Stegostoma tigrinum: one gene and its partner. The protein of the gene in region 1 interacts with the protein of each later gene in a biochemical or structural test. Links are inferred from orthologs where the notes say so. Each region holds a gene or a part of one and is shown in the gene's direction. Other genes may lie near its edges. The genes, in order: signal transducing adapter molecule 1 and beta-arrestin-1.

Evidence for each region.
Region 2: the proteins of signal transducing adapter molecule 1 (region 1) and beta-arrestin-1 form a complex in vitro, tested with the Homo sapiens proteins (2 studies listed by BioGRID). The link is inferred for Stegostoma tigrinum from reciprocal best matches to the Homo sapiens genes STAM and ARRB1.

Annotation. Positions count from the first base shown.
Region 1 is NC_081355.1:115,188,805-115,204,397, forward strand, and holds the start of signal transducing adapter molecule 1, read left to right. Parts: upstream 1-7,241; 5' UTR 7,242-7,951; coding exon 7,952-7,991; intron 7,992-15,593. UniProt on the Homo sapiens protein: Involved in intracellular signal transduction mediated by cytokines and growth factors. Upon IL-2 and GM-CSL stimulation, it plays a role in signaling leading to DNA synthesis and MYC induction. May also play a role in T-cell development.
Region 2 is NC_081359.1:109,442,616-109,458,515, reverse strand, and holds the start of beta-arrestin-1, read left to right. Parts: upstream 1-8,674; 5' UTR 8,675-9,009; coding exon of another isoform or gene 9,010-9,029; intron 9,030-15,900. UniProt on the Homo sapiens protein: Functions in regulating agonist-mediated G-protein coupled receptor (GPCR) signaling by mediating both receptor desensitization and resensitization processes.

The DNA of each region.
Region 1 (15,593 bases):
CTCTCCTCTGGCTCTGCCTTCCATGTGCAAAGATCCTCAATGGCCTACTTTTATTTCCTCCCCAGGTCTGCTTATATACAGAGCTGCACATTGTTGCCCGCTGAAGACGTAAGTACCTGATCCCTTTATTGTATTTATCCTAGTCACATAACGCTGTACGTGCTAGTGATATTTTCCATAGCATTGATGCCACACCTGACACAAAATTATAAGCTTTGATCTTCACAGGTGTCACACTGCATCTTAATGGGTTGAAGGGTTATGAATAGTGGGCTGGAAAATGGACTTGAGGCCGAGATGAGATCAGCCATGATCATATTTAAATGGCAGAGCAGGCTCGAGGAGCTGAAATGCTTCCCCCTGTTCCTAGCCCTTATGTTCTTATGTCCTTGAGTGTGATACCCAATACTATAAATGCTATAGTTTCTGGGATTCACTGTGCCGTTTTTGCATGGTGCAACACTCCTACCTGTTTTACTGTTCGTCCTACAGTTTCTGTCATCCATTCTCCTGGTATGGACAGGAAAACTATGGGGATAGAAGCAATCTTTCAGCACTACTGTGCGAAAGTTAGATTCTATTTCAGTTCAGATGTAGACATCATTGATGCTACAAAGGATGATTCTAGAGATGTTCCTGTCATGCTGCTGTTCCTGTTCTGTCAATGAGTGCAAAATGAAAGGCGTTAACTTCTCTCTTTTTAGCAATGTTTAGGTTCTGTACTACCAAGCAATAATATTAAAAAAGTACTGGCAAGAAGATTGGTTGAAAATTTGAGATAACAAAGTGTAGAGCTGGATGAACACAGCAGGCCAGAGAGCATGTTAGGAGCATAAAAGCTGACGTTTCAGGCCCAGACCCTTCATCAGAAAAGGGGGAGGGGAAGGAGGCTCTGAAGTAAATAGGGAGAGAGGAGGAGGTGGATCGAAGATGGATAGAGGAGAAGATAGGTGGAGACTTGGTCTGTATTAAATACATAGATATGTAATGACCGCAAAAATAAAAGAAATTTGAAAATGAGAAACCCCACTTCAATTTGATGAGAGTTCTTTGGTGTCTTGTAAGAACTGAAAGTAGCATGAAGAAATTTTAAAAAGATACCTGACATTTATTTCTAAAATGCGGCATATGAACATACTACGTAGGCGAAGGAATGAGCCATTTGCTCCATGGCCGTTCCTCCACGAATCAATAAGATTGATTGATCTCATTGTGCCACAACTCCACATTCCTGCCTACATCTGATAATCATTGGCTCTTGTTAGTCCATAATATATCTACCATTGCCTTAAAAACATTCTGTGATGCTGCCAACAACATTGTCTCGGAAGGTTGTTCCAAAAGCTCACTATCATCTGAAAGAGAAAAAAAATCCCCTTCACCTTAAGTAGGTAAGCCTTTATTTTTAATCTGGGTCCTCTCATTCTGGACCTTCCCATGAGAGAAAGCAACCATTCAGCATCCACTCTGTCCCCTTAGGATCTTACATGTTTCAATTATATTGCCACTCATCTTTCTAAACTCCAAGGGAAGCAGGCCCAATCTGTCCAATATTTCCAAATAAGATAACCTCACTATTAAAAGAATCAATCGAGTTAATTTTCTCTGAACTGTTTCAAATGCATTTAAGTTCTTTCTCAAATAAGCAGACCAAACTGTACTCCAAATGTGGTCTCACTAATGCCCCGTGCAACTGTAACGAAGCTGTGGCAAAACTCAACTTCCCTTGCAATAAATGTCAACATTCAATTTGCCTTTATAGCCTGTTACTTTATCTGTATGTTACATTTCTATGATTTCTGTCTCAGGACAACCAAATTCCTATGTAGCTCTGTGTTCTGTAATCTCTCGCCTTTTCAATAATATGCTGCTTTTCTATGCTTCTTGCCAAATAGGAAAGTTTACACCCAAATTATACATCATATGCCAAATAATTGTCCACTCACTTAACCAATTTCTTTGCTTTTGCAGACTTATGTCCACTGTGGAATTTATTCTCCTACCTATCTTTTCATCATCAGCAAATTTTGTAACAGTATTTTTTTCTTCATCCAAGTCATTGAGATAAATTGTAAATAATTGAGGCTCCACCTTCATCAGTAATTATGTATATATTACCCAATTATCTTGATTTTATAAAGTAGCATTTCAGATGGGCTATATTGCATTCTTACTATTTATAAAAATGCCAAAATGGTAACAAATGGATTTAAAAATGTCTTGCGTAAATCCAAGCTACATTTAAATAGGAGCTGTGGATTATTTCAATTCAAGAAAAGTTTAAATCTGACTCTCAACTGGAGAAAGATTAAATATATTTTAATTTAAATAAAATGCTGTATAAAAATAAAAAATGTTGACAGCAAAATGCTCGACCCTATTAACACTCAGGTCTCATTTGCATTGAATTTGTGAGTTATGTACATATTTACAAGATTGTTACACAATTTACCAGAATTTACGCGGTGGAAGAGGAAAGCAGGAAACTGGCAGATTATGACCATGAGCCTCCATCAAGAGAACATAGGAGGGCTGATTCATGATAGGGCTATGAAAAGTCTAGCACATCATAGACACTCAGAATTCTTACAGTATAGAAAAAGACTAAGAGTTATTTGTATGGCATGTTTGGAGAGGTATTCACAGCTCAGGGGATTGGAGATAAGAAGGGAATGGGTGACCATCAGGCAGTCAAAGAGAAACAGGCATGTAATGCAGGAGTGCCCTGGGTCCTGCTGATAAATCACTTTCTCATTTTGGAAGCTGTAGGGGTGCTTTTTCCTCAGAGGAGTGCAGACAGAGCCAAGCTTCTGGCACCATGAAGCTACCTGATTGTAAAGGAAGGGAGAAAGAAGAAAGCAGGACTTTTAGTGACAGGGGATTCATTAGTTAGGGAATAGAGAGGCATTTCTGCAGCCGGTGGCATGATTCCAGGATGGTGTGTTGCCTTCCTGGTGCCAGGTCAGGGATGTCACTGAATGGCTAAAGGGCATAGTGGAGTGGGAGGATGACAAGACAGAGGTTATGATATACTTTGCTATCAGTGATAGGTAAAAGAGGGATGAGATCTTGCATCAAGTTCTGGGAGCTAGGCAGTAGATTAAAAAGCATGACTTCTCAGGTTGTAGTCTCTGGATTATCCCCAGTACCACATGCCAACTCGTACAGAAACAGGAGAACAGGGCAGGTGAATGCTCAAGAGTTGGTGAAGGAAGGAGGGTTTTACATTCCTGGACCATGGGATCGTTTATGGGGAAGATGGGACCTCTACAAGTCGGACTGTTGCACCTGAAATAGAACTGGGCCAACATCTTTGCGGGAATGTTTGCTAGTGCTGTTGGGAAGAGTTTAAACTAGCTCAGCAAGGGCAGGGAACACAGTTCAGTAGTGGCGTGGCCCAAAATGGGAACCTAGACTGAGGTAGTTCAGACCTGTTGAGCCACAAGGATGTAAGGTGAGGCAGGATGGCCTCTGCATTAATGCTATGCTATTATAGGTAAGCCATATGGGTTAAGGGCACGGATTGACACATGGAATTACACCGTTGTTGACATCACAGAGATGTGGTTGATGGAGTAACAGAACTGGCATCTCAACATTCTGGAGTAAAGGATATTCAGGCAGGACAGGAGAGAGTGTAAAAGAGGAGGCGGTGTTGCATTATTATTTAAGGATTGAGTTACTGCAGAAGGTAGGGATGATATCTTGGAAGGATTGTCAAATGAGGCTTTGTAGGTAGAATTTAGATAAGCCTCCAAACAGTCTATGAGCAATTGAAGATCAGATATGTAGACAATTCACTGAGGTGTGCAAAAACAATAACAGGGTAATTACATTAAAGGATTTCAATTTCCCCAACACTAATTGGAAGAGTCATGGCGTAAAGGGTTTAGAGGGGACAGATTTCTTGAAATGTATCCAGGACAGCTTTTAATGTCAACATGTAGATGATCCTACAACGTACAGCGTTGTGCTGACCTAATTCTGGGTGACGAAACCAGGCAGGTGTTTGAGGGGACCACTTTAATGATAGTGATGATAACATCATACATTTTAAATTTGTAATGGAAAAGGAAAAAGATGGTCTGCAAAAACGGGACTTGCATTGGGTGAAAGCAAATTCACAAAGAGGGCTGGGAACAGCTACATGAGTGTGAGTCTAAAGTCGAACAGTGGGAGGTATTCCAAAAGGAATTAGGGAGAATACAGTTTAACAGGGTGAAATGTAGAAGCAACAATCCCAGAGAACATTGGATATCTAGGAATATTCAGGATTGGATAAAAAGAAAAGGAGAGACATATAACAAGTACAAAGAGAGCAAATCAATGGATGAAACATAGAAAGTGCAAGGGGGAACTTAAGAAAGCAATTAGAAGAGCAAAGAAGGGTCATGACAGGTAAGATTAGGAAGAATCCCAAGATATTCTACTAGTATATCAAAGGGAAAAGAATAAACAGAAGAGAATTGGGCTTACTGGGACCAAGGGGACAATCTAAGCCTGAAGCCAGGGGACATTGCTAGGGTGTTAAATGGTACTTCACAATTGTCTTCACTCAGGGAAAAGAGAGTTTAGGTGTAGGATTTGGGAAGATGATCTGTGAAATTCTTGAGCTGTTTAAAAAGGGAGAGAGGAGGTATTGGAGGTTTTGGCGGGTTTAAAAGTAAACAAATGTCCAAGTCCAGATGAGTTATATCCCAGACTGCTGTGGGAGGTGTGGGAGGAAATCACAGGGACTCTGACCCAAATTTTGAATTGCTGTTGGCCATGGGAGGTGCCAGAGGACTAGAGGACAGCTAATGTGGTTCCATTTTTCAGGAAGGGTGATGTAGATAAATCAAGGAATTACAGACCAGTGAGTTTCACATCAATCCTGGGGAACTATTGCAGAAAATCCTGATGGAGAGAATTGATCTTCATTTAAAGAAGCAAGGTTTGAAGAAGGATAGTCAGCATGGCTTTGTCAGAGGAAGGACAAGCCCAACAAATTTGATTGAGTTTTTTGAGGAGTTGACCTAGTGTGTGGATGAGGGGAGGGCAGTTGATGTGGTTTATAAGGGTTTCAGAAAAGCTTTTGAAAAGATCCCACATAGGAGACTGATAAAGAAGGCAAATGCTTTTGGATCTAGGGTAATTTGGCAAGATGGATCCAAAACTGGCGGACTGTCAGGAGACACACAGTGATGGGAGAGATTTTTGTATGACTGGAGACCAATGGTGTACCACAGGGATCAAAGCTGGATCCCTTATGGTTTCTAATATAGTTACATACAAGCGATATAGGGGAGAGTGTCGGGAAGATGATAAGTAAGTTTGCAGGTGACACAAAGATTGGTTGACAGTGAAGAAGGTGGTCTTTGGTTGCAGGAGGATATAAAAGGATTGGTCAGATTGATAAATCAGTGGCAGATGAAATTTAACACTAATACATGTGAGGTGATGCACTTTGGAAGAAGTAACAAAACAAAGGAGTACTCAATGACTGGCAGGACATGAGGAAGATCTGAGGAACAGAGGGATTTTGGACATTGGTCCACAAATATCTGAAGGCAGCAGGGCAAGTTAATAGGCACAGAATACCTGCCTTTATCAGTCAAATAACAGATTATAAGAGTAGGGAGGATATGTTGGAGCTGTATAAGACTTTGGATAGGCCACAGATATGCAGTTCTGCTCGCCACGCAACAGAAGACTGGTTGTACTGGAAGAGGTGCAGAGAAGATTCACCAGGATGTTGCCAGGGATGGAACACTTTAGCTATGAAGAGAGGTTGGATAAGTTTGGGTTGTGCTGTACCCCAAGGAAAACATTGAAGGGGGACCTGATAGAGGTATATATTAGGTTAGAAGCCAGCTGTTCCCATCTTTTGAAGGGTCAATGACAGGGGCATAATTTTAACATGACAGGTTTGAAGAGGGATAGTTAGCATGGTTTAGAGGGGTTGTGAGGAAAAAGAATCTTACTCAGAGAGTGGTGGGCATCTGGAATGCACTGCCTGAGAGGGTAGTTGAGGCAGCAAACCTCACAACTTTTAAAAAATACTTCGATGAACCTTGAAATGTCACAACATTCAAGACTATGGGCCTGTATAATTCTTTGAGGCTATTGCATCCAACATGTCTGCACTGGCTCTTCAATGAGCATTATGACTGAATGCCATTTATTTGCATTTACCCCATACCCTCGCACATTGGTTCTATTCGAATTACATCTTCTCTTGAATACCTCATATGACTCTGCCTTCACCAGAATTGCAGTCCAGACCCAAACACCTTGCTATGTGAAAGTATTTTCTTTTTTCACATCACTTTTGCTATGTTTGCCAATCATTTCAAATCTGTGCCCTCTCATTGTCGATCCTTTTAAGTGTGACATCAGCTTCTTCATAATTAGTCTATTCAGATTTTCCCAATTTTGAAAATTTCAGATCTCTTCTTAACCTTCTGTCCAAGGAGAACAGTCCCAAACTCTCACCTGACTTGTGATTGTAATCATTTCTATGCTCCAAAGTTCCTTTCTTCAGAAATATCAGTATTTGGGGAAATTGATTCACTCCGCATTGCAAAACAGTCGGAGAGAACCAGACACAGCAGGAGTCCTGAATATATCCAAGCAGCAGTACTAAAGGCCTGGACACCAGAGCTAATACCTCTCTCTGAAGAAAAGTCACGCTAAACATTAAAACAGGGCTGTAAGAACACACCCACTTATTTACTTTTACACTTTTGACTGTTAGCCAGCATTTAAATTGAGTATTATTCGATTTGCAAATTATGCGGAATGGATTCAAAAAGTCTGCCGTCTTCATATAGAGGCTTTAGTAGCGGGTAGTGCCTTTCTGATTTAAATTTAAATAGGAAAATTTGAAAGTAGTTTCGGGCCCTCGAGCCGAAGAAGATGCAATAAGGTCATGACTGATCCGAAACTTCTCACGTCCGCTTTCCTGCCCTGTTGTTGAAAATACTTATTACTTTCCTTCGTTAAAGCTATAAAATGTATCAATTGGTAATCATTGCGTGTAAAATAAAACTCACTGCATCAAATTTAATGCTAAAATTCAACATTTTAATGTAAATTGGAAGAGAGAAAAATGGGATCAGACTTTTTAAAATTGATTACCTTCAATATCGTCTACTGCTAAAGACAGGGGTTTGTTTTACGTAACCTGCGGGACAGTGTCATTTACTTTTACCGTAATCCTCGTGTTTTGTTCTTTTACAGGGTTTGGTATTTATTTAAAAAGAAAATAATTTATTCCAGTGCGTTTGTAAAGGGAGTATTCGTTGGTATCGTGCACGATTTTCGCACTTTCAGCTGGAAGAGACCCGCTGACCCTGATTACACCGACAGGTGGAGAAAGACAGCAGTATCTACACTTAGCGCTGGAGGCTTTGAGATACGTCGCAGGGCTATATTAGCATTTCGCCGGATTGGAAATGCAGTGAAAGGGGGTGGAGAGGCATGAGTGTTGACAATAAAATGCAAATGCAATTGGTTCGATTCAGTTTTTCTGATGCTTAAAAATACGAACCCGTATTGCATTTATTTTTATGCTTCCCCACCGCTAGTTCAGTGATTTATCACTAATCTCTTCTTTTCGCCATTCCGCTGCAGAGGTGCAAGCGGCCTCTGATTTCCGAACAATACTGCGTTTTGCCTGTGAAACGGATCAGCTGGCGGTAGGGCCGACACCACCAGGCTTGAGGCCGGAGTGGGGAAGGAACGCAGCCGGGGGGCTCGTGCCGGGCGCAGAACGCGGCTCGGGAGGGAGCGCGCGTGCGCCGCTGGGGCCGAAGCTGCCGTTGAAAGTCACTCCGGGCTCGGATGCGGGGCGATTCTTGGCGGAGGAGTGAGTCGGGGAGTGTGAGGCGTTCCAACCGACATTGGAGACACAACCTAGGGGGCAGTTAGACTGCAACAAGCCGCACGCACGTATATACAGTCTTCGGAGATGCCTCTCTTTGCCGCCAATCCATTCGATCAAGATGTTGGTAAGTCCTTTTGCGGGTTAAAATTGTAATCTGCGAATTGCTGGCCTGTGGGCTGTGTGTTCCCAGTGTTTGCTTGGAAGTTGACGATATGAAGGTACGATGCTTCTGTTGGAGAGGGATTCAGGCAGCGTTCGCAGATGTGGGCCTTTTGTTTGCAAAAGGACCGAGTGAGAAATTTGGGTACGATATTTTGGTCAAGTTTTGCTTTCCTAATCAAATCATTCAGCGTCATAAATGCACTTGAGGGGCAAAGAACACCGAACCTGAGATTAAACTGTCTCATTTAAATTCAAGCGGCTCAAATTTTATTTTGCTTTAAATACATCATTTGAAAGCTTCGGTTAAATTTTAAACGTAAAAGTCCAGTTGAAATATCGGTCTTAAAATCACAGCATGCTTCAGGTTCCTTATTGCAGGATCGTGTAAACAATGCAGAGCAGACAGGTTTGGATTGAAAAACGTAATTGATTTTTAAAAAGTGCATAAAGCATTTGTAAATGATATTTTAATATTGATTTAAGGTAAGTTAAATGTAAATTTTTGTAAGGAGTTTGAGAAACTAGAGATTGTGGTGCTTGTCACCTTAATTTTACTAATAATTGTCATGACAAATTTTGCAATTACTCCCTTCCCTCATGGGAGGTAATGGAAACAAGAGATGAACCCCACTGAGCTAACTGCCAAATCGTACTGTATTGTAATTGTAAGATTGAGGCAGATCCTTTTGGAGGTTGCTTATCCTGCCTAAATAAGAGCATGTGCACTTTTCCTACACTTGTGCTGATGAGGAGCAACAATTTTTCGAGTTTTTTTAAAATTTTGGGACAAACTGGGTGGAAAAATTGTGAAACAGCAATTTGAAAAAAGACTTGCAGTAAACTAGTTCCAGTTTATCTAAACAGAAACATGCTGGAAATAGGTTGGCTTCTGTAGAGAGTACATATAAATTAATAATGATTTAAGCAAAGTTTTTCTTGGAACTAGCAGAACTCTATCCATGCCATATAGAAAGGGATAGAACAAAGGGGAGTCCTCTGTATAAAAGGTTGCCCTCATGTCCTTGTTAAACCTTTCCTCTCTCACCTTAAATCTATGCCGCTGCTCTTTGACTCCCCTATCGGGGGTGGGGGAAGACCTTTGGCTATTCACCTTATCTTATGCCCCTTATAATTTTATGATTGTCTCCAAGGTTACTCCTCAGCTTGCACTCCAGGGGGGAAAAGGTTCCAGCCTACCACCTCATAACTCAAACTCTCCAGTCTCGGTAATGCTCTTGTAAATATTTTCTGCAGCTTTCACATTTAATAACATCCATCCTATAGCAGATTGACCAGAATTGTGCGCAGCTTTCCAAAAGGAGCCTCACCAATGTCTTGTTCGGCTGAAACATGATGTGCCAACTCCAATATTAAATGCTCTGACCAATGGAGGCAAGTGTGCCAAATGCTGCTGCCTTCACCCTGTTTCCCTGTCCTGCCACTTTCAAGGAAGAATGTACGTGCACCCCTAGGCTTCTGTTCGACGACACTCCATTAACTGTGTAGCTTCTATCCTGGTTTGTCTTACCAAAATGTAACACCTTACATTTATCTAAATTAAACGACATCTGCCACTCCTTGACCCATTGGCCCAGCTGATCAAGATCTCTTCAATAACCTTTTTACTTCACGATACCACCAATTTTGGTGTCATCCACTTGACTTATTTCATTGATTCAGCGATAGTAGGAACTGCAGATGCTGGAGAATCTGAGATAATAAGGTGTAGAGCTGGGTGAACACTGGGCCAAGCAGCATCAGAGGAGCAGGAAGGCTGACGTTTCGGGCCTAGACCCTTTAGAAATTCTTCATTTCTGAAGGAGGGTCTAGGCCCGAAACGTCAGCCTTCCTGCTCCTCTGCTGCTTGGCCTGCTGTGTTCATTCAGCTGTACACTAGGTTATGACTTATTTCATTGTTACATTGTGGTTTGTGGAATCTTACTGTGTGCAATTTGGCTGCATTTAAGCATGGTATGAGAGTGAAACCAGGAAAATTTGGATCAATAAGGAACATAGTTGCAGTAGGCCATTCCTCCTCTTGAGTCTGCTTTACTATTTTAGATTATCTACTCTGTTTATCAGAGAAACAAAACAAATGCTTTTTGCCTGTTTTCACCAAAGAAATTACTAAAACTGTCCCAGAAATAATGGCAAATCTAGGGACCAGTTAATACAAATTTTAAAAAGAAGTACCAGAAAATTTAATCGGACTTTAAGTAGACTTGAACCTGCCATGCTGAACATACCAGAGTTTTGAATGAGGTGGCTGTGGGGATGATGATGATGAGGTGGCCATCCTTCAAAATTCTGTAAACTCTGGCATGTTTGCTGTGGGTTTGAAAATGGCAAATGTAACCTCACTATTTAAGAAAAAGAGGAAGGAGAAAACAGAACTCTAGACCTGTTAGCCTGACATCAGTTGTGAAGACAATCTTAGAATTTATATTAAAGGATGTGATAGCAGGATATTTTGAAAATAATGGGAGGCAGATTGGATAAAGTTAACATGGATTTATGGAAGAGAAATCATGTTTAGCAAATCTCTTGGTGCTTTGATGGATTGTGCTTGTTGTGTCCTCTATCATGATATTCTTAATAGCAGAGCATTAGGTTAGAAGATTGCAAAGTTTCATTCCCCTCTGAGTTCTGAAATTCTTTCTTACCTTAGGCCTAAATGATTTGCTCCTTATTCTGAGACTGTCCACTAGTTGTAGAACTCCAGACCAAGGGGCAAGATCTTTCGGCACCTGCCCTGTAATACCCTTTACGAATTTTGTAAGCATTTTGCTTTGACATCTCTTGCTTCTATACTCTACAAAATACAGGCCTAGAGTCCTCAATCCCCCCTCATAGGAAAGTCTGCCTTCCTAGGGATGAATCTGGTGACTCTCAACTGCATTCCTGCTGGAGAAAGTATATCTCTTTTTTTTGATGTAAGGGGGCTGAAACTGCACCGAATACACCAAGTGCTGTCTCTCAAAGGTTCTAAACAGTTGCGATAATGGGAACTGCAGATGCTGGAGAATCCAAGATAACAAAGTGTGAAGCTGGATGAACACAGCAGGCCAAGCAGCATCTCAGGAGCACAAAAGCTGAGGGTCTCTGGGTCTAGGCCCGAAACGTCAGCTTTTGTTATTCACACTTTGTTATCTTCTAAGCAGTTGAATCATGTTAGGCTAATAGTTCAGAACTAAAGATTACATCTGTCAAACAGAAATTTCTAGAGTCTTCTATTAAGGAGAGGAGGACTGAGCCACTTAAATTTACAGCTGATCAGAGGGATTCAACGTGGATTTGTAAAATAATAATTCATGCCTGACAAATTTGTTTGAATTTATTTTGAAAATGTGAGTTAGCGGACAGGGGAAGAAATGTCTACGGATGTTACATTTGGACTTCCAGAAGTCATTCGAAAAAGTTCTTCATGGCAGGTTGCTAGTGTATGTTGAAATTCGTGGAATTGAAGATAAGTCAAAGACTTGGTTGGGAGATTGACTGAGCTGCAGGAGACAAGAGTAGGGAAGGTGAGTAGGTATTCTAATTGGCAAGTTGAGGCTAGTGGTAACTAGTATGTCTCTATATTGGTGGCCTGAATTACTCACCCCATTTATCAGTGATTTAGATCATTTGATAGAATACCACACGTCCAATTTAGTTGATGCCGAAGTAGGTGATGTTACGACAGTGTGTAAGTGTTACATCACAAAAATAAGGTGATTCGAAATGAATGGGCACCACAGTGAAGGTGGTGAATGGCTTCAGCACAACTAAGTGTGGTAGCAACTACTCTCGACGTGAAAAGGAGTAGAAAAGAGTTCTTTTGGCAAAGATTGAAGAAGTGGAGGCCCTAGAGACTTGGGAGCCCAGTTACAGTAAAATGTAAACAGCTACAGAAAGTAATCAGAAAAGCAAATGGATTACTGGCCTTTGGAGGGGTAGAAATCATAGTTTGGCAGGACAAAGACACACACAAGATCTGAAATGTTATTAGCAGCTTTGGACTCAATACGTTAAAGATGTGTTGGCCTTTTGAGAGAGTGCAATGAAACTTTTTAAAGGAGTTAGATATAATTCTTGGTGGTCGAGGGTAAAGTCATATGGGAGGGGGTACTGAGTTGAATGATTATTCATGATCATATTGAGTGACAAAGTTGGCTTGAAAGTTTGAGTGGTCCATTCCTGCTCCTGTTTTCTCTTTCTATGACTAAAGATTAAATTATGAGAAACCAAGGTCACAATTTTTGCAACTTAGGAGGTCTATTAGGTATATTTGATCTAGGTTTTCAAGATATTCAAGGCAACAGATGGGATAGATGGAAACTATATTTCCATTGTTTGACGTCTTTAGAATTGAGAGCTGAGTCTAAAAGTCATGATCAGGCCTTTCAGGAGTGAAATTAGGAAATAACTCCACAGGCAATGTTTGACACAAGTTTGGAGCTCTCTTCTGTAAATGACATTTGATGCTACATCTATTGTTAAATTAAAAATTGAGGTCGATAGGTTTATTTTTGTTCTTTTTGCGTTATGGGATATGGAGCAAAGGAGAATATTTTGGATATTATGGAGTTAGGTCATAGATTATAGATCATAGTTTGAGCAGAGACTGGCTTCTGTATAAGGACAGATTTTAACATTTGAAAGCACACTACTGTTACTTTTTGATTTTATGGAATTTGGGGGCTAACCTCACTTCGACCAACTTGTTACCTTGGACATTAACGTAAACTGTGGGAGACATTTAAATCTGTCAATTTATGTGGTTTTCTGATCCCTAAAATTGTTTGTTTTTCTTTGTTCCTTTAGTAATCTTAAGTGCTGTCTTGCATGAGAAACTGAAAACATGAACTGTTAAATGACACGTGCCTCAACCTTAGTACTGTTACTGCTAATCAAGTTGCTTTTAAAATATAACCACTGTTTTGTAAGGAACTGTCATTGTCAACTTGCATGCAATGGGATCAAGAAAAAAGTGAGTGAGATAAATAATCTGATTTTTGTTTTGCACAAAAATAGAAAAGATTGGAAATACTAAGCAGTTCTGATAGCATCTTTGCAGAGGGAAGCAGAGTAACCATCTTGCTACCTGATCTGTAACAGACATCAAAGTCATATTCTTATATTTTTATGGAAAATTGTCACACTCTAGTCTAGCTAGTGCAATCATCACTAGTTTGTGCCAATCATTAACAATTGTTTGTGGTCAGTTTTCAGTGAATTTCTTAGTGAGAAGGTACATGTGAACTCTTGTGACATCAGATCCATGCACAAATCCCTCTTGCTATATATTCAAATAAGACTAAGGTACTTTTAATAGACGTAGAGTCATAGACCATGGGAACAGGCACTTTGACCAAATTCATCCATGCTGACCAGGTATCCTGAACCAAACTAGTCCTGTTTGCTTGTATTTGGCCGACATCCCTTTAAACCTTTCCTGTCCATGTACCTGTCCAAATGTTATAATTGTACCCACGACCATTTTGTCTAGCAGCTCATTCTATACATGCACCATACTCTGTCAAAATGTTGTCCCTCTGGTCCCTTGTAAACCTTTCCTCCTCACCTTAAACCTATGCCCTCTAGTTTTGGACTCCCCCCTATCCTAAAGAAAACCATGATTTGATAATGAGAGGTATAGAGTTAACGGTACTTGTCTTTTCCCTCAGATGGGGGATTTCAAGACTAGGGGACACATTTTAAGATGAGAGGAGAGAGAGATTTTAAAAAAGACATGAGGCAGATTTTTTACACAGGATGGTTCGCATGTGAGGAAGTGGTGGATGTGGGTACAGTTACAGCATTCAAAAGGATTGGTACGTGAATAGGGAAGGTTTGGAAGCATATGGATTAGGAACAGACAGGTGCCACTAGTTTAGTTTGGGACTATGCTCGACTTGGACTGGTTGACTGCATAACTCTGAGTCATAATAAAGTATTGCTTTCTAACAATGTTTAAGTTGTTTGAACCTGTGTTGATTGGCCTCCTGTCATTCATTTGGAACTTCCATGGGCCCTAGAATTCAGAGTATATATCAGTGATTTGGGAGTGAGGACCAAATATAATGTTTCTATGTTGGTAGGTGTATGTTAAAAGAAAGCTATAAACTGGTGTTAAGAGTATTTTGCCAGACTTTGAGTGTGGGCAAGAACATGACAGATGGTATCTATTGTCAGAAAATATTAGAATATCCAACTTTTAAGAGGAACAGGTGTGCAAAATATTTCTCTAAGAACTGAGAGAGTGTAGATGTTTAAAGGGATCAGGGTATCCTTATCAACAGGTCACTGAAGACTAACGTGCGTTTGCAGCGAGCTATTAAGAAGACTAATGGTAAGTTGCCCTTCATCACGAGTATGAGTCCAGAGGAAGCAAAGTATTGCCTCAATTCTGTAGAGTCTTGGTTAGACAGTTAATGGAGTTGTACTGTGTGCAGTTTTGGTCCCCTTAGATTAGGAAGCGTATTAATATCATAGGGGGAGCACAATGAAGGTTCATCAGCATTGTGGGACTATCTAATGAAGGGAGACTCTGATTTTCCAGTCTCTGTTCTCTCGAATTTTAAAGAATCTGAGGTAATGTGAAGGTTGTCGGATTGCTCGCCGAACCGGATGTGTTTGATTGCGGATGTTTCATCACCCTGCTAGGTAGCACCATCGCTGTGTGTCAAGAGAAGCGTTGGTGTTCTGACCTGCTTGTTGTTTATGTGCCTTGGTTTGCTGGGGTGGTTGGCACCACTTCCAGTTCAGTTTTTTTCAGTGGTATGTACATCGGTCCAGTTCATGTGTTTGTTAATGAAGTTCCAGTTGGAATGCCACCAGGAATTTTGATAATAAAATGTGAGGCTGGATGAACACAGCAGGCCCAGCAGCATCTCAGGAGCACAAAAGCTGACGTTTCGGGCCTAGACCCTTCATCGGTGAGGGTTCTGGAATAAATAGGGAGAGAGGGGGAAGCGGACCGAAGATGGAGAGAAAAGAAGATAGGTGGAGAGGAGAGTATAGGTAGAGAGGGGATAGGTCAGTCCAGGGAAGATGGACAGGTCAAGGAGGTGGGATGAGGTTAGTAGGTAGGAGATGGAGGTGCGGCTTGGGGTGGGAGGAAGGGATGGGTGAGAGGAAGAACCGGTTATGGAGGCAGAGACAGGTTGGACTGGTTTTGGGATGCAGTGGGTGGAGGGGAAGAGCTGGGCTGGTTGTGTGGTGCAGTGGGGGGAGGGGACGAACTGGGCTGGTTTAGGGGTGCGGTGGGGGAAGGGGAGATTTTGAAGCTGGTGAAGTCCACATTGATACCATTGGGCTGCAGGGTTCCCAAGCGGAATATGAGTTGCTGTTCCTGCAACCTTTGGGTGGCATCATTGTGGCACTGCAGGAGGCCCATGATGGACATGTCCTCTAAAGAATGGGAGGGGGAGGTGAAATGGTTTGCGACTGGGGGGGTGCAGTTGTTTATTGCGAATCGAGCGGAGGTGTTCTGCAAAGCGGTCCCCAAGCCTCCGCTTGGTTTCCCCAATGTAGAGGAAGCCACACCGGGTACAGTGGATGCAGTATACCACATTGGCAG
Region 2 (15,900 bases), on another chromosome or scaffold:
CATAGATAGTAGGAGCTGTAGACACTGGAGAATTTGAGACGAACCAGATGTGTTTTGAGCATCAATGGACAATGGCTGGAAGTTGACCAATACATCAGCTCTTTATTGAATGCAGATTTCACCATTTACCATGGTGGGATTCAAACCCATGTCTTCAGAACAATGGCCTGGGATCTTGGATTGCCAGTCCAGTGACATTACCGCTAGACTATTCCCCTTCTGTCCTTCGTGATTTAAAATTACGCTTAAACGTCTTCAGTCTGTGGAAGACAATCCCAACTTCTCCAGTCTCTCCATATTCACTGAGAACCCTGGAAAAGTTGTCCTCACTCCATGGCCTTGGCATCTCCTATGACTCCCATATTCCAGGCTTGATGTGTCAGTGATGGCTCAGTGGGCAGCACTCTTCCTTCTGAATCTGAAGGTTCCAGGTTCCTAGGACAGCAGAACTGATGTATGAAGGGAGACGGGATTGTCTCGAATAATATTCACTAGAAGAATGGGGAAATCTCATAAAAACCTATAAAATTCTAATGGGACTAGAGAGGATAGACATGGGAAGGATGTTTCAGATGACCAGGGAGCCCAGAAACAAGGGTCGCAGTCTAATGGTACAAGTTAGGCCATTTAGGACTGACATGAGGAGAAATGACTTGACCCAGACAGTGGGGAGCCTGTGGAATTCTCTGCCACAGAAAGCGGTTGAAGCCAAAACATTGGATGTTTTCAAGAAGAAATTAGAGATAGTGCTTAGGGCTAAAGGGATCACCAGGTATGGGGGAGAAAACAGGAACAGGGGACTGAGATGAATGGCAGAGACACTTCAAAGTGCTGTTTAGCCTATTCCTTCTCCTATTTCCGCTGTTTCAAAATTTCAAGCCCTGCTCTAGGAGTCAGGGTTGATATTCCATGGCAATGCAGAGTGATTGCAGGGCTGTTGGAGGTTCTGTCTTCCCGATGAAACATTAAACCAAGGCCCCCCACTTGTTTTTTGGGTGTAAGTATTGTGTTCCTTGATATTGTTTCAAAGAGGAGCAAATGAGACATCCCTGAGGCATTGGTGCCGGCCACAATCAACGTTACAATAATACAAAGATCATTTGGACGTTATGACACAGTTGTTTGTGGGATCTTGCTGTACAGAAATTGGCTGCTCTGTTTCCTCCGTCCCAACAGTGAGTACACTACAAGAAGTGTTTTGTTGGCTATAATACACTTTGAGACATTTGAGTCTCTGAAAAATGCTGTATAAAATTAAAATCTTTCTTCCTCAAAATGAATTGTGAAATGCTCTTGTCAAATGAAAGCCAATGTGTGCGTCTATTTTTCAAAGACCCACTATGCCTCTTCTATCTGGCACATCTGTACTCACTTGGGGTCTCTCTCAGTCACCTTCCTGTTTGTACAAATATTGATGGAAGATCACCTGCCTCTGCTGACTGTTGTAATAAATAGTCACTTGGTGGCACAGAACTGATTTAGGTATTGCACGGAGAAAAAGAGCCATCTTGCGCTCACCAGCACCGATGCAAGAATTCTAAATTTCAATGTTGTGGAGGTGCCAGTGTTGGACTGGGATGGGCAAAGCCACACGGCATCGGGCTGTAGTCCAACAGATTTATTTGAAATTACAAGCTTTCAGAGCTCTGCTCCATTGTCTGTGGAGGGAAGTGCGCAGACACAGAATTTGTCTGCTTCCCTCCACATCAGCCAACAAAAGGAACAGTGATTTGAAGGCTTGTGTTTCCAACTAAACCTGTTGGATGTTAACCTGGTGCTGTGTGACTTCTGACTAAATTGCACAGGGCACAACAATTCGTAGTGCAGGGAAGAAGGGTGCCAGTTGGTTGGAGAGTTGACTCTGTTTGGTTCAGTTGAAGATTGTCAGTCAGGCCCACTTGATGTTGGCATGAAGTGACTTTTACTTATATCCAGGGTTGCCTCCTCTGCTGGGAGAGCAAACATGCCCTGGCTTTGTAATTTCCTCAATTAAACAAAGTCATTGGGTTCAAACTGTTCCCCAGAGCATTCCCAAGAGCAAGGTCTCAACTTACCAACCGTGAGCACCCATTTCACTTGTAGGATAAATCCCTTTGAAGTTTGGCATTCTTGCCATTCTATCCTGATAATGAATGTAAAATGAAACACTTCAACAGCATTTCAGTGATACTTTGGTCATGCAAAGGCAGGAGTTATACAACTCTTATATACCCAGGAGATAAGTGGAGAGGAGATGCGTGTTCATGACACTGTGGTGGTTTGATTGCTGGGATTTGGGAGAACTGAGCAGGCTCTCTCTTGGTCTCCAAAACCTCCTCAGTCAATGATACAGCACTAGATTGGCCCAGAAATACTAGCTGTCAGTATCTTTGCTTCAGAATGTTCTCAGCTGCAGGCCAACATCGCAGCAGAGCAGTGAATGGGGGATTTTTAACAACAACTTAAAGTAACCAATAGTAACAGGTTTGGGTAATATTGGAGCTCCAGTGGGCCATCCAGCCCCTGTTGTGCTGTCAAATTAATGAGATTATGGTTGATCTGTGTCCTAACTCCTCATTTCTGCTGAGGCCCCATAACCTTTAATATTTAGGGATAATATTCCGGGATTAAGCCTTACCCTCCACCTCGAGCTGATGGTTCGAGCTCTGGTTCAAAGCAAGAGACTCGCTGAGGATGAGGGTTTGATTGCATGCAGTGTCTCCTCATCTTAAAACCCACTAAACTAATATAATGTTTACATTCTTTAAATATTGTAAAGAATTTAATTCTTGCAAAAGTACTTCATTTATACTTTTAACATTAACATTCATAGTTTTGTATTTTTATTAAATAAATAATTGTGTGTCACTTCTCAGTGGTGAGTCTGTTCTTTATGATCACTATCCAGATATTTGTTCGTTTAACTCTCAAACTTTGGTCCTCTTGAAGTTTCAACCCTCCCTGAAGATTTGACTCCTGTCACATTCAGGATAGCAGTATTTCTCTTCAACATTCAGTGTTGTTTCCGGTACAGCTGAGTTGTTCCCCCAGTTGTCACTATTTCTATTCCATGAATTCCCAGGAATGCAGCTTTAATTATCTGCCATGAATGAATGGATTAGCTTGACATTGAACAATATCTCCATTCAGTTCTGCTGCTGAGAAACCTGGAACTCTGTCTCTCCCACCTCAGACGTTCACTCCCTCCACCACTTAATGCAGTGTGGGCCATCTACAACATACACTGCAGAAATTCACCAAGCCTACTTAGCACCTTGTACACACAGGCCCGGATGATCGTCTGGCCCCACAGGGTCTCCCGCACTGGGACTGTCATCTCTGTTACCTTGCCTGACTATGTTTATGCCTTGGTTCATCTGCTACAGTAGACCTTGCCTGAGCTTCGGTTCCCTCAGACTACGATCACACGCTCCAGATCAGACTCCCACCTTCCACTGATCTCATCAAAATTCGCTGGCTTTATCTGGTTCCATTCCAGTCTGTTTGGGTCCTGACCTGGTTCAAAACAGACACGTGGAAAGCGGGAGCAGGATTAGGCCTCTTGGACTGTTGAAGCTACTCTGACTTTCAACATATTCATGCTCTGACCCACTATCTCCGTCGCCACGTTCCCACCCTCTCCCCAAGCGGCTTGATGCCTTTAGCTTCTGGAAATTCCACAGATTCACCTCACCCTGGGTAGAGAAATATTTCCTCACTTCAGTCCCAAAAGGTTTACCCTGTATCCTTAGACTTTGTCCCCTGGTTCTGGACTCCTTGCTCATCAGAACTGTTTTTCCTGCAACTGAACTGTCCATCAACAGTCATAGAAACGTTCAGTAAAGAAACAGACTCCTTGGTCCAACTTGTCCGTGCCAACCAGATATCCTAAATAAATCTGGTCTCATTTGCCAGCATTTGGCCTGTATCCCTCAAAACCCTTCCTTTCATATACCCGTCCAGATGCCTCTTAAATATTGTAATTCAACTAGCCTCCACCACTGCCTCTGGCAGCTCGTTCCTTACATGCACCACTCTCTGTCTGAAAAAAGTTTCCCCTTAGGTCCCTTTTAAAATATCCCTTCTCACTCTGTACCATCTAGTTTTGGACTCCCTTAACCTGGGAAAAAGACTTTGACAATTCACCTAATTCATGCCCCTCATGATTTTATAAACCTCTATAAGGTCTCCCCTCAACCTCTGCCACTCCAGAGAAAAAGTCCCAGTCTATTCAGCCTCTCCCTACGGCTCAATCTTTCCAACCCCAGCAACATGTTTGTAAATCTTTCCACACCCTTTCAAGTTGAACAACTTGTGAGAATTTTATGCGTAGTGCGTTTTGAGAAGATTTGTAGCTCAGGTTGAGGTTCTGGATGTGAGTTTGCTCGCTGAGCTGGAAGGTTAGTTTTCAGACGTTTCGTCACCATTCTAGGTAACATCATCAGTGAGCCTCTGGTGAAGCGCTGTCCCGCTTTCTATTTTGGGTTGGTGATGTCATTGCCTGTTCTTTTTCTCAGAGAATGGTAGGTAGGCTCCAAATCATCAAATATTTGGAGTCTATCTACCATCCTCTGAGAAAAAGAACAGGAAATGACATCACCAATGCAGGAAATGACATCACCAACCCAAGGAAACCTAAACCGTTAAATAGAAAGCGGGACAGCGCTTCACCGGAGGCTCACTGATGATATTACCTAGAATGGTGATGAAACATCTGAAAACTAACCTTCCAGCTCAGCGAGCAAACTCACATCCAGAATTTTATACATTTCAATCAGATTCCCCCTCTCATTCTTCTAAACTCCAGTGGTTGCTTTTCTGATCTAGCGTCTAGGCCCAAAACATCAGCTTTTGTGCTCCTCAGATGCTGCTTGGCCTGCTGTGTTCATCCAGCTCCACACTTTGTTATCCCTTGATAATACATGTGGTTTGTCAATTTCCATTCTAAACCAATCCAGCTGGAGTGACTCAATCTGGTAAGGCATTCAAAGCTATGGAACAAGTGCTGGAAAGGTGGGATTAGAATAGTTAGATGGTTGTTTTCGATTGGCACAGACTTAATGAGCCATCGATCTCTGTACCTCTATGTCCCGCTGGTTCCATTGAATTCAACGGTTGAGTTCCCATCTTAACTCAACATGAACATTCAGGTGAGGAGCTGAAGTTGGCCCCTGGAGCCTGTTTCACAATTTAATGAGATCATGGCTGATATAAGTGCATCCTTGATTCCACATTCCCAATTACTCCCAGTAACCTTTCACCCCCTCGCTTGTCAAGAATCTAGCCATCTCTGCTTTCAAAATATTTGGACACTGTTTCCCCCACCTGCTGGGGAGACTCTCAATCCCCTGAGAGAAAGAATCGCTCCTCATCCTTGACTAACATGGTGACCCTTTAATTTTTAAAAAGCGATCTCTGAGTTCTAGGTGCTTCCACAAGAGGAAGCATCTTTTCACATCCATCCTGTTAAGTGGCCTCAGGATCTAATATGTTTCAATCAAATTGTTTCTCAATCTCTAAACTCCAGCGGATAAAAGCCTTGCCCGTCCAGCAGTTGCTCATAAGGCATCCTGTCCATTCCAGATATTACTTTGGTAAACTTTCTATGAACTGCTTCCAATGGATTTACGCCCTACCTTAAATAAGACGGCCAATACCTAACATAGTACTCCGGATGATTTCACCAGAGCCCAGTGTAACTGACCATTGACCACAACTGGACTGGACTTGCCATTTCAATGCAATGCTCAAGGGTAGGTCAGAGGCTAGGAATTGTGCAGCGAATAACTCATCTCTTGATTCCCCAAAGCCTGTTCACCAACTACAAGGCACAAGTCAGGAGTGTGATGGAATGTTCCCTAATTTCCTTCATGAATGAAGCTGCAGCAACACTCAAGTTTGACGTCATTCAGAAAAAGTAGCCCCCTTGATTGTCACCAACATCCACAAACATCTACTCCTTTCGCACTGTTGCTCAATAGTGTGTACTATCTACCATGTGCACTCCAAAAATTCACCAACACACCTAGGACAGCACCTTCCAAACTCATGACCACCAATTGGAGGGACAAAGATAAATGGGAATACCACCCCCTTTAAGGTCCCTCAGAGCCATTCGCCATCCTAAGTTAGAAATATATTGCTGTACCCCCAGTGCCACTATGTCAAATCCCTTGGGGTTTCTCATGGCAGTGTGGGTTTACCGACCGCACGTGGGCAGCAGCAGTTCAAGAAAGCGGCTCACCACCAATTTCTCAAGGGGCAAGTACAAATGGGCAATAAATGGCTGCTATTGGCTGGACCAGTTCACAGTCCACCCATCCTGTGCACTGCGTCCAGTTATGACAAATGCAAGCCACACATCACATGTTGAGCTGACTTTGAAGGGACGTCTTCAAATATTTACCTTCCCGCCCTCCAAAGAAGAATCCTCAACAACCATAATAGATTTCACATCAAGGAAGAAAGAATCTGCAGATCGCTCAGTTGAGGGTGTGAAAGTTTTTCACCAACAGTTCAATCAAAGACAGCAAATGAAAATGGTCAAACTAATATGAACAAGCTGAAGTATTAACCCAACACATTTCAGCATAGAAGGGTTGAGTCTAAAGTTTCAAAAATGTGAGGCGTTAACATTAAAATCTACAGAATTGTTACAGTGAATGAGCAAAATTGAGGCATTTGTCTTTTGAACAGAGATTGAGTTTAGACCAATACTCATTTGAGTTAAGAAGAACGAGAGGAGATCCAGTTAGAGTTTATAACGTGCTAAAAAGTGTTCTCAATGTAGATTTGGACAGGATGATTCCCCTTGTGGGGCGATCTGGAAAAAGAGGTCATAGTTTTATGAGAGACAGTAAGAACTGTCAATGCTGGAGTCTGAGATAACACAGTGTGGAGAAGGGGGAACACAGCAAGCCGGGCAGCATCAGAGGAGCAGGAAAGGTGACATTTCAGGTCAGGATGCTTTTTCAGAAAAAAAAATTATGAGAAGGTTTGACAGATTTAAAGAAATGAGGTGGAATTGCTTCTCACAAAGGGTCATGAATCTGTGGAATTCATTCCTCTAGAGTGTGGTGGATGCCGGGACACTGAATACATTTAAGAAGGGGTTAGATAGATTTTTAATTAGTAACAGGTTGAAGAGTTAAAGAGAGTGGGCAGGAAAATGGACTTGAGGTTGAGATGAGATTAGCCATGGTGGTATTGAATGGTGGAGCAGGTTCAAGGGGCCGAATGGCCTATTCCTGCTCCTAGATCTTTCCTTTTGGAATACGGCACACAATTCTGGCCATCCATTTATAGGAAAGATATTGGTAAATATGAGAAGGTGCAAAAGAGATTTACAAGGATGTTGCAGGCTTGGAAGGTTTGAATTATTGGGAGAGGCTGAATAGCCTGAGGATTTTTTTCCCCAGGAGCGTCGGAGGCTGAAATGTGACCTTACAGAGGTTTATAAAATCATGAGGGGCATAGATAAATTGAATGACAAGGATCCTTTCCCTTGAGTGGGGAAGTCCAGAACTAGAGGGGCAGAGGTTTAAAATGAGAGGGAAAAGATTTAAAAAGGACATGAGGCATAACTTTCTCACGCAGAGAGCAGTGTGTGAATGGAAGGAGCTGCCAGAGGAAGTGTGGAGGCTAGTACAATTACAACATTTAAAAGGCATCTGGATGGATGTATAAATAGGAAGGGTTTAGAGGGAGATGGGCCAAATGTTGGCAAGTGGGGCCAGATTAGTTTAGAATATCTGGTCAGCGTGGACGTGTTGGACCGAAGGGTCTGTTTCTGTGCTGTGCCACTCAATGGCTCTATGAATCCATGAATATTTCAGTTGCAAAATCTCACCACTTTTCCAATGGATATGTGTATAATTGTGGATGTGTAAATAACCTACAAAGGGTACAGTTTCCCCTTCATTCTTTCAGGGTGTCACTGGCTACAACCAGCATTTGTTGCCCATTCCTAATTGCCCTCGAACTGAGAGGCTTGCTCAGCCATTTCAGAGGACACGCATTGCTGTGGGTCTGGAGTCACGAGTAGTCCAGACCAGATAAGGACTGCAGATTTCCTTCTCTAAAGGACATCAGTGAGCCACCAATGTGTACAGCTGGATGACCACAGCAGGCCAAGCAGCATCAGGGGAGCAGGAAGGCTGACGTTTCGGGTCTAGGCCCTTCTTCAGAAAATCTGCGAGCCAGATGGGTTTTTCAACGATGGCTGATGTGTTACTGTCATCATCACCGAGACCAGCTTTAAGTTCCAGATTTGCTCCAATCCAGCTGTTTCGTGGTTACAATAGTTTCCAATTACAAATTTGTTGAATTGCACAGTCACTGCTATGGGATTCTGAGCACATGTTTATACATTATTGGATTCTGACACCACTACTATGCTACCATTCCTGTAGATGTGCCTGTCTGCACACTTTGTTAATCTCCATCCATATTAGGGAATGTTTTTCTGTTTCTTGTATCTGGTATAGTGGTAACTATTCCTCTATTATGTCTGGTTATGTCTGTCCAGTCCTGAACTGTTCTCTGTAAATCTATTAGCACTCTCCTTTCCCCAGAGTTGGGGTGTCTGGGGGGGTGAGGTATTAATTCAGGAGGCTGTCAAAACCATAACCCTTTTCTGCCCACGAATCAGTCTGTATAATGGTTGGTTCGGCTTTAAGCAGAGCTAGGCGTGGGGATGTCTGTGTGTGTGTGTGTGGAGTAGGGAGTCTGACTGTGTGTGTGTCGAATATGCAGCAAGGAATGACGGTGGAACTGAGCAGTAGGGATTTGGGATTAACCCTCCTCCGCGAAAGAAATTTATCTGTTTAATTATCAGATAAGGGAGGGGTGTGTGGCCGTCGGGAAGAAAAGGAATGTGAAGAGAAGTGGGAGTGGACGAGATTAAAGGCGATAGAGAGACAGCAATAAACAGGGGCTGTCTGAATTAAATCTCAGTTGTAGCTTCCGAGGGCTCGGCTCTGATCTGAAATTCCGGGGTTCTGTCCACGAAGCTGGAAAGGCAGCAGAATAATGAGTGACAAAGGCACAAGGTTTGTGAGATTTCTGTTTTATTGGATGCTTAAAACGCAACTGGAAAGGGGAATGGTTAGAACGGGTTGAGCTCCAGTCTTGAGACTGGGATGCAAACTGGGAGAGAGTCTCCTGGCTTTATTTGTAAACCTTGAACATTCTCAATCAGTCTGTTGCTAATAACATAGGGGGAGATGGTGGCCTAGTGGGATTATCTCTGGACTGTTACCCAGAGACCCTGTTATTCTGCTGGGTACCTGCATTCAAACCCTGCCATAACAGAAGGAGGAATTTGAATTCAATAAAAACAAAACTGCAATTAAGAATCCAATCACAATTGTCATTAAAAACCCATCTGGTTCACTAGTATCTTTTCTTTTAGTAAGGAATCCTTACCCAGTGTGGCCATCAATGTGGTTGATACTCAACTGACCTCTGGGCAATTAGAGATGGAAAGTAAATGCTGGCCTGGCCTGTAACACTCACCTCCCATGAATAAATGAAGATCAGATTTTTCTGGCATTTTTGAGTTTAATTTTTCACGATGATGTTGTTTTCTTCGTGCTACCATTGCAATGTTTGCTGCTGGTTAAAAGCTTTTGAATGAGACTCTGAGCTAAGATCCTGGGGTTAACTGGTACTAGGATTCAATTTAAAAGCCTTGATGATCGCGGGGTGGGGTGGGGTGGGGATAGATGGGGATTTGTCACAGGATTGTTTGAAAGTGATCCCCCTCCCGTTTTTAGATCCCTTTGATTCCTGTTCTGCCAACTCTTAGATATTCCGGTGGATTACCATTTCTCCCCCCGCCCCCGCCACTCTTCTCTCTCTCTCATTTTGGGATACAGCATGTTCCAATTTGAGGATTCCAAGTGGATCACATAATTACTTTCTTGTGGCTGTCCAACCTTCAGCTGTGATGAGAAACAACAGCAGGAGGAGGCCATTCAGCCCCTCTATCTATCCTGACACCCAGAAGGACAAAGGCTGTCCTATGACTTCACTTGCTTTGCCTCCCTTTACCAAGTGAAGGGGAATCTGAGGATGTTGGATATGAAATGATGCATCGGGCTGCGAGTCTCCTCTGGGAGAGGGTATTCCACATTCAGCTCAAGATTCAAAAGTATGAGGGTATGCGTAAGAAGCAAACATGGTTTGTGGAGTTAGAGCAGGAGAGAGCCAGAGAGTGGGGTCGAAGAAGATAAGAATGTTCTCCTTCAGGAAGAGAAGGCTCGGGGGAAGAATTAATAGAGGTATTTGAAATCATGAAGAACTTTGATCGAGTCGATCAGGAGAAACTGGTTCCGTTGGGATGGGGTGGGAGGGGGTGGTTTGGTGTGGTGGGTCGAATTGGCAAACCTAAAGGCCACACATTGATGAGGTTTGAGCCAAAAGGAGCCAACATTTATCTGACGCAAGGGGTTTCTGTGATCTGGAATGCACTGCCTGAAGGGGCAGTGGAAGCAGATTCAAGAGGAACTTTCAAAAAGACCTTGGATGAATTCTCAAACACAAAAGGGGGAGAAGGGAAAACCAGGAACTGGAGAAAGATGAAGAACAAACAAAGCTGACTGCCTGGTGTATTCTAAGAGTGGGGACAGATATAATGGACATCCCAGTTCACTGAGTAATAGGGAAGAAAAATAACATGTTGGCCTTTATTTCAAAGGGATTGGAGTATACAATTTTGGAGGTTTTGCTAAAACTACACAAAGCATGAGTCAGACCACAGCAGGAATACTGTGAATAGTTTTTGATTCCTTTATCTAAGGAATGATATACGGGCATTAGAAGCAATTCATAGAAAGTATGCTAGGTTGATAATAGGTATGGAGGGACTGAGGAGAGGTTGAAAACATTGGGCTTGTACATGTTGGAATATAGAAAAATGAGAGGTGACCATTTTGAAACATACAAGATCCTTACGGGACTTGACATGGTAGATATAGAGACATTGTTTCTCCTTGTGAGAAAGTCCAGGACCAGAGGGCATCATTTCAGAATAAGGGGTCACACGTTTAAGAGTGAGATGAGGATGAATTTCTTCTCTTAGAGGGGAGTGAATCTGTGGAATTCTTTATTGCAGAGGGCTGTCGGAGCTGGGTCATTAGGTATATTCAAGGTGGAGATAGAACGCAGGAGAATGGAGTTGAGGAATCTCAGATCAGCCACAATCTCACTGAATAATGGAGCAAACCTGATGGCCTACTTCTGCTCCTCTCTCTCCTGGTCAGAATGGCTGCGATCAGTGATCTATGATTTTTCACTTCTCCCTAAGGAAAGCTTTCATTCTAGCTCTCGGTATCTGTCCTCAGGGTTTACTTTGAGAACATGTCAATAATTGGAGATGTGAATTTTCAGAGTGGGTGCAGTCAGCTGTGGGCGTTAATCTTCTCTGAGTCCCCTTGTTCCGGTCCCCACCCTCAGCCCAACCCCAACTCCCAAGAGAAGAAATAAATTCTCTCTACCTATCCTATTCATTCCTTGGGTAGGGGGAGGTAGTGACAAAGCAGGAATGTCATTTGTCCAGTTATCCAGAGCCCCAAGCTGTTCTTTGGGGAACATGGGTTCTAATCCCATCATGGCAGATGGTGTAGTTTAAATTCAATAAAAAGTTGCCCTAATGGTGACCACATAATTATTGTCGATTGTCTGGTTCACAGATACGTGTCGGGGGTCAGTTTGTTGGGCAGCTGATTTAGGGGCTGTTGAAGTGCAGTGATACTGTCCCTATCTCTGAACTAGAGAGGCCCGGGATTGGGTGTTGCCTGCTCCAGGGATCAATAATAAAATCTCTGAGCAGGTAGAGTAGACAATATCTAAATTGTGATAATTTGACATTTTTGCATTTGTCCTAATGATTGAAAGACATACACCGCCTTCAGTCCCCTCTTTCTGAGCGGCAACGACACCTTTTAAAATCTTTAGGGAGGGAAATCTGCCGTCCTTATCTGGTCTGGCATATATGTGACTCCAGTCCTACAGCTATGCGGTTGTCTCATAACTGCCCTCTGAAATGGTCAAGCAAGCCTCTCAGTTCACAGGTAATTAGGAATGGTCAACAAATGTTGGTCTCACCAGCGATCTTGTGAATGAATATTAAAAATAACACCTGAATTAGGCTGCTGGTTGTCTTCTAATTTACAAAATTACAACAACAGAAACGGAAGTTGCTGGAAAAGCTCAGCAGGTCTGGCAGCATCTGTGAAGAAAAAAATCAGAGTTAACGTTTCAATTCTGAGGAAGGGTTATTAGACCCGAAATGTTAACTCTGATATTTTTCTTTACAGATGCTGCCAGACCTGCTGAGCTTTTCCAGTAACTTCTGCTTTTGTTCCTGATTTACAGCGTCCGCAGTTCTTTTGGTTTTTGTCATGAAATTACAAGATTCCTTTTGCAAACTGCTCTTACGGTTGTATTTGCAAGGGTGGGGAGCAAGGGCAGGAGACACAGATGGGGAGCAGTGGGTGTGTAGTACAAATTTGATAGCTGTTCCAAAGAGCTAGCACAGTGACACCACGCAGAATAACCTGCCCTCTGTGCTTGCTGACTGGATGATTCAGAATATCACTGGGTACTCATCTTGTAAAGGGTCATGTGGGAGATATTTTGTGAATTCCACTACCAGTTCAGGCTGCTGTAGAGCGTTGCTGATCAAACAGGAATGCTGAGCTGGAGGCGATTAAAGATCAGAGCCAATTATGCTTTCCCGTTCGTACATTCACTGAAAGTGCAGATATTCCCACCCCATGTGTAATCCTGAATCAAACGCGTCAGTTCTTGGCAAGTGTTGTATGTTGATCACAATGTACAGGAACCATCTGCACCACATAAAGGAACATCTGTTGAATGAATAGCTGTGTTGCAATGAAATGGACATTTCTCAAAAAGGCAATGGATTTAGTGTTTTTTTTGATATGGATGTCATTGTTCTGCCTGAGAGTCACCACCTTCTTGCTTGAATCCATCCCTTTCCCCTTCTATTCCCCATTTTCTGCTGGACCATTCAGAGGTGACAGAGGTGTCTGCATTTACACCAGGGTGGTTGGTGAGTTGCCAACAATCCTACAACATGCTTACCTTCAACCCAAATACCTCCTGCCATAAGACCATATGGCGTAGTAGCAAAATAGGCCATTTAGCCCATCAAGTCTGCTCTGCCACTCAGTGAGATCGTGGCTGGTCTGATAATCCTCAACTCCATTCTCTTACCTCTCCCCAGCACCATTGATTCCTTTATGATCAAAAATCTGTCTATCTCAGCTTTGAATATACTTAATGACCCAACCTTAACAGCCCTCTGAGGTAAAGAATTGCACAGATTCACTCCCCCCTGAAAGAAGAAATTCCTCCTCAACTCTGTCTTAAATGTGCGGCTCCTTATTCTGAGATGATGTCCTCTGGTCTTAGACTCGCTCACAAGGGAAAGCAAGCTTTCCACATCTACCCTGTCATGGCCTCTAAGAATCTTACATGTTTCAATAAGGTCATGTCTCATTCTTCTATATTCCAACGTGTACTGGACCAGTCGACTTAGCCTTTCATCATAAGGCAGTCCCACAATACCCAGGATCTGTCAAATGAACTACCTCTGGACTATCTCCAATGCCAATATATCTCCCCTTCGATAAAGGGCCGAAAACTGTTCACAGTTTTCTACCTAGTGTTCTGGCTAGTGTCTTATCTCGCTATAGCAATGCCTCCCCGCTTTTGCACTCCGTTCCCTTTGAAATTAAGTTTGAATTGTCACAAACAAGTTGGTGGAGGTCCATGATACAGATCCTGCTACTATTCCTCTCCTCAACCAGTGGAGCTAAGGCAAATATCCACTTAGTGTGGACTCGTGGTGTGGTCTCTTAGGGACCGTGATCCCCTTTGTGAGTTTATACATTAACCCATTAGCTCTGTGTTTAACATTGTAGCAACCTTATAAAGACTACATCTCAGGATTGAAAAGGGCACATATGGCAATGTCATGGTAATGATGAATAATCCAGAGTTAAATGCTCATGGCTAAAATTGTACCAGAGATAATGGGAACTGCAGATGCTGGAGAATCCAAGATAATAAAATGTGAGGCTGGATGAACACAGCAGGCCCAGCAGCATCTCAGGAGTGCTCCTGAGATGCTGCTTGGCCTGCTGTGTTCATCCAGCCTCACATTTTATTATCTTAAATGCTCATGGCAATCAGTTCAAATCCTATCATGGCAACATTTAATTAAGAATCCGAAATATAAATGTTATGCGAAGCAATGCTGGCCATGACAAATGTACTGAAAGTCTATTTGGTTCACTGGTTTTCTTTGAACCCAAAGCAATGCAATTGGCTCATAAACACCATCTGAAATGAATGTGAAGATGGGACTTTGTCCCGACAAGGATTATGGTTACTTCTACCAATACTGTCATGGATAGAATGCATCTTCTGCCAGGACACTGGTGAGGGTGAGGCCCACTATGTTTTTCCCTCTTGGTACATCCCTCACCACCTCCTGTACACCCAGTCTGGAAAGGCATCTGACTGAATGTGACAGCAAAAAGCCCTAGCGAACTGGAGTTATTGGGAATTGGGTTGGAGTCGTAACTGGCACCTTGGAAGGTGATTGTGGTTGTTGGAGGTCAGACATTTCAGCTCCAGGACATCAATGCAGGAGTGTCTTAGGGTAGTGAGCTAGGTCCATCATTTTCAACAGCATCATCAATGACTTTCCCTAAGGTCAGTATGGGGATGTTCACCGATGATTGCACAGTGTTCAGCAACACTCATGACTTCAAATACTGAAACAGTGCATGTCCAAATACAGCAGGACCTGGACAATATCCAAGCTTGGGCTGACAAGGAGCAAGTAGCGTTTGCAATCATAGGCTCTAGATTATCTCTAAGAAAGAATATCTAAACATCATCCCATGACATTCAATAGTGTCACCATCACTGAATCCCTCACCATCAACATGCAAGGTTCTACTGTTAACCAGAAATGGAACTAGACTGGCCACATAAACATAGTGACTACAAGAGCAGGCCAGAGGTTAGGAATACAATGGCAAGTAACTCACTTCCTGACTCCCCAAATCTTTTCCCAAACTACAGGGCACAAGTGTGCTCCTGAGATGCTGCTTGGCCTGCTGTGTTCATCTAGCTCCACACTTTGTTATAGAACATATAGAACATAGAACATTACAGCACAGTACAGGCCCTTCGGCCCTCGCTGTTGTGCCGACCTGTCATACCAATCTGAAGCCCATCTAACCTACACCATTCCATGTAAGTCCATATGCTTGTCCAATCTTGGATTCTCCAGCATCTTCAGTTCCCATTTTCTCTGATCACAATTTTAGCCTCACTGCGAAGCCTCTTCCATGGATGCCTAACCTGAAGAAGTTACCCTCCGGACCACCCTCAGGGAATCTCTCTCCCACTGCACCACCTATCTTCTCCTCTATCCATCTTCGGTCCGCCTCCCCCTCTCTCCCTATTTGTTTCAGAATCCTCTCCCCCTCCCCCTCTCTGATGAAGGGTCTAGGCCCGAAACGTCAGCTTTTGTGCTCCTGAGATGCTGCTTGGCCTGCTGTGTTCATCCAGCTCCACACTTTGTTGTCTTGGATTCTCCAGCATCTGCAGTTCCCATTATCTCTGATCACAAGTCAGGAATGTGATGCCTGAATGAGTGCAGCCCCAACAACGCAGAAGAAATTTGACACCATCCAGTACAAAGCAGCCCACTTAATCAGTAGGACTCTCTCCCTAACAACACTGTGGGTTTTTCCAAAGACTGCTGCTCACCACATCTTGTTCAGGGCAGTCACGAATGAGCAATAAATGCCTACATCTCAAGAATGAATTAAGAATGCAAGTCACTCAACCACAGGCCATTAGGGAAGATGAAAA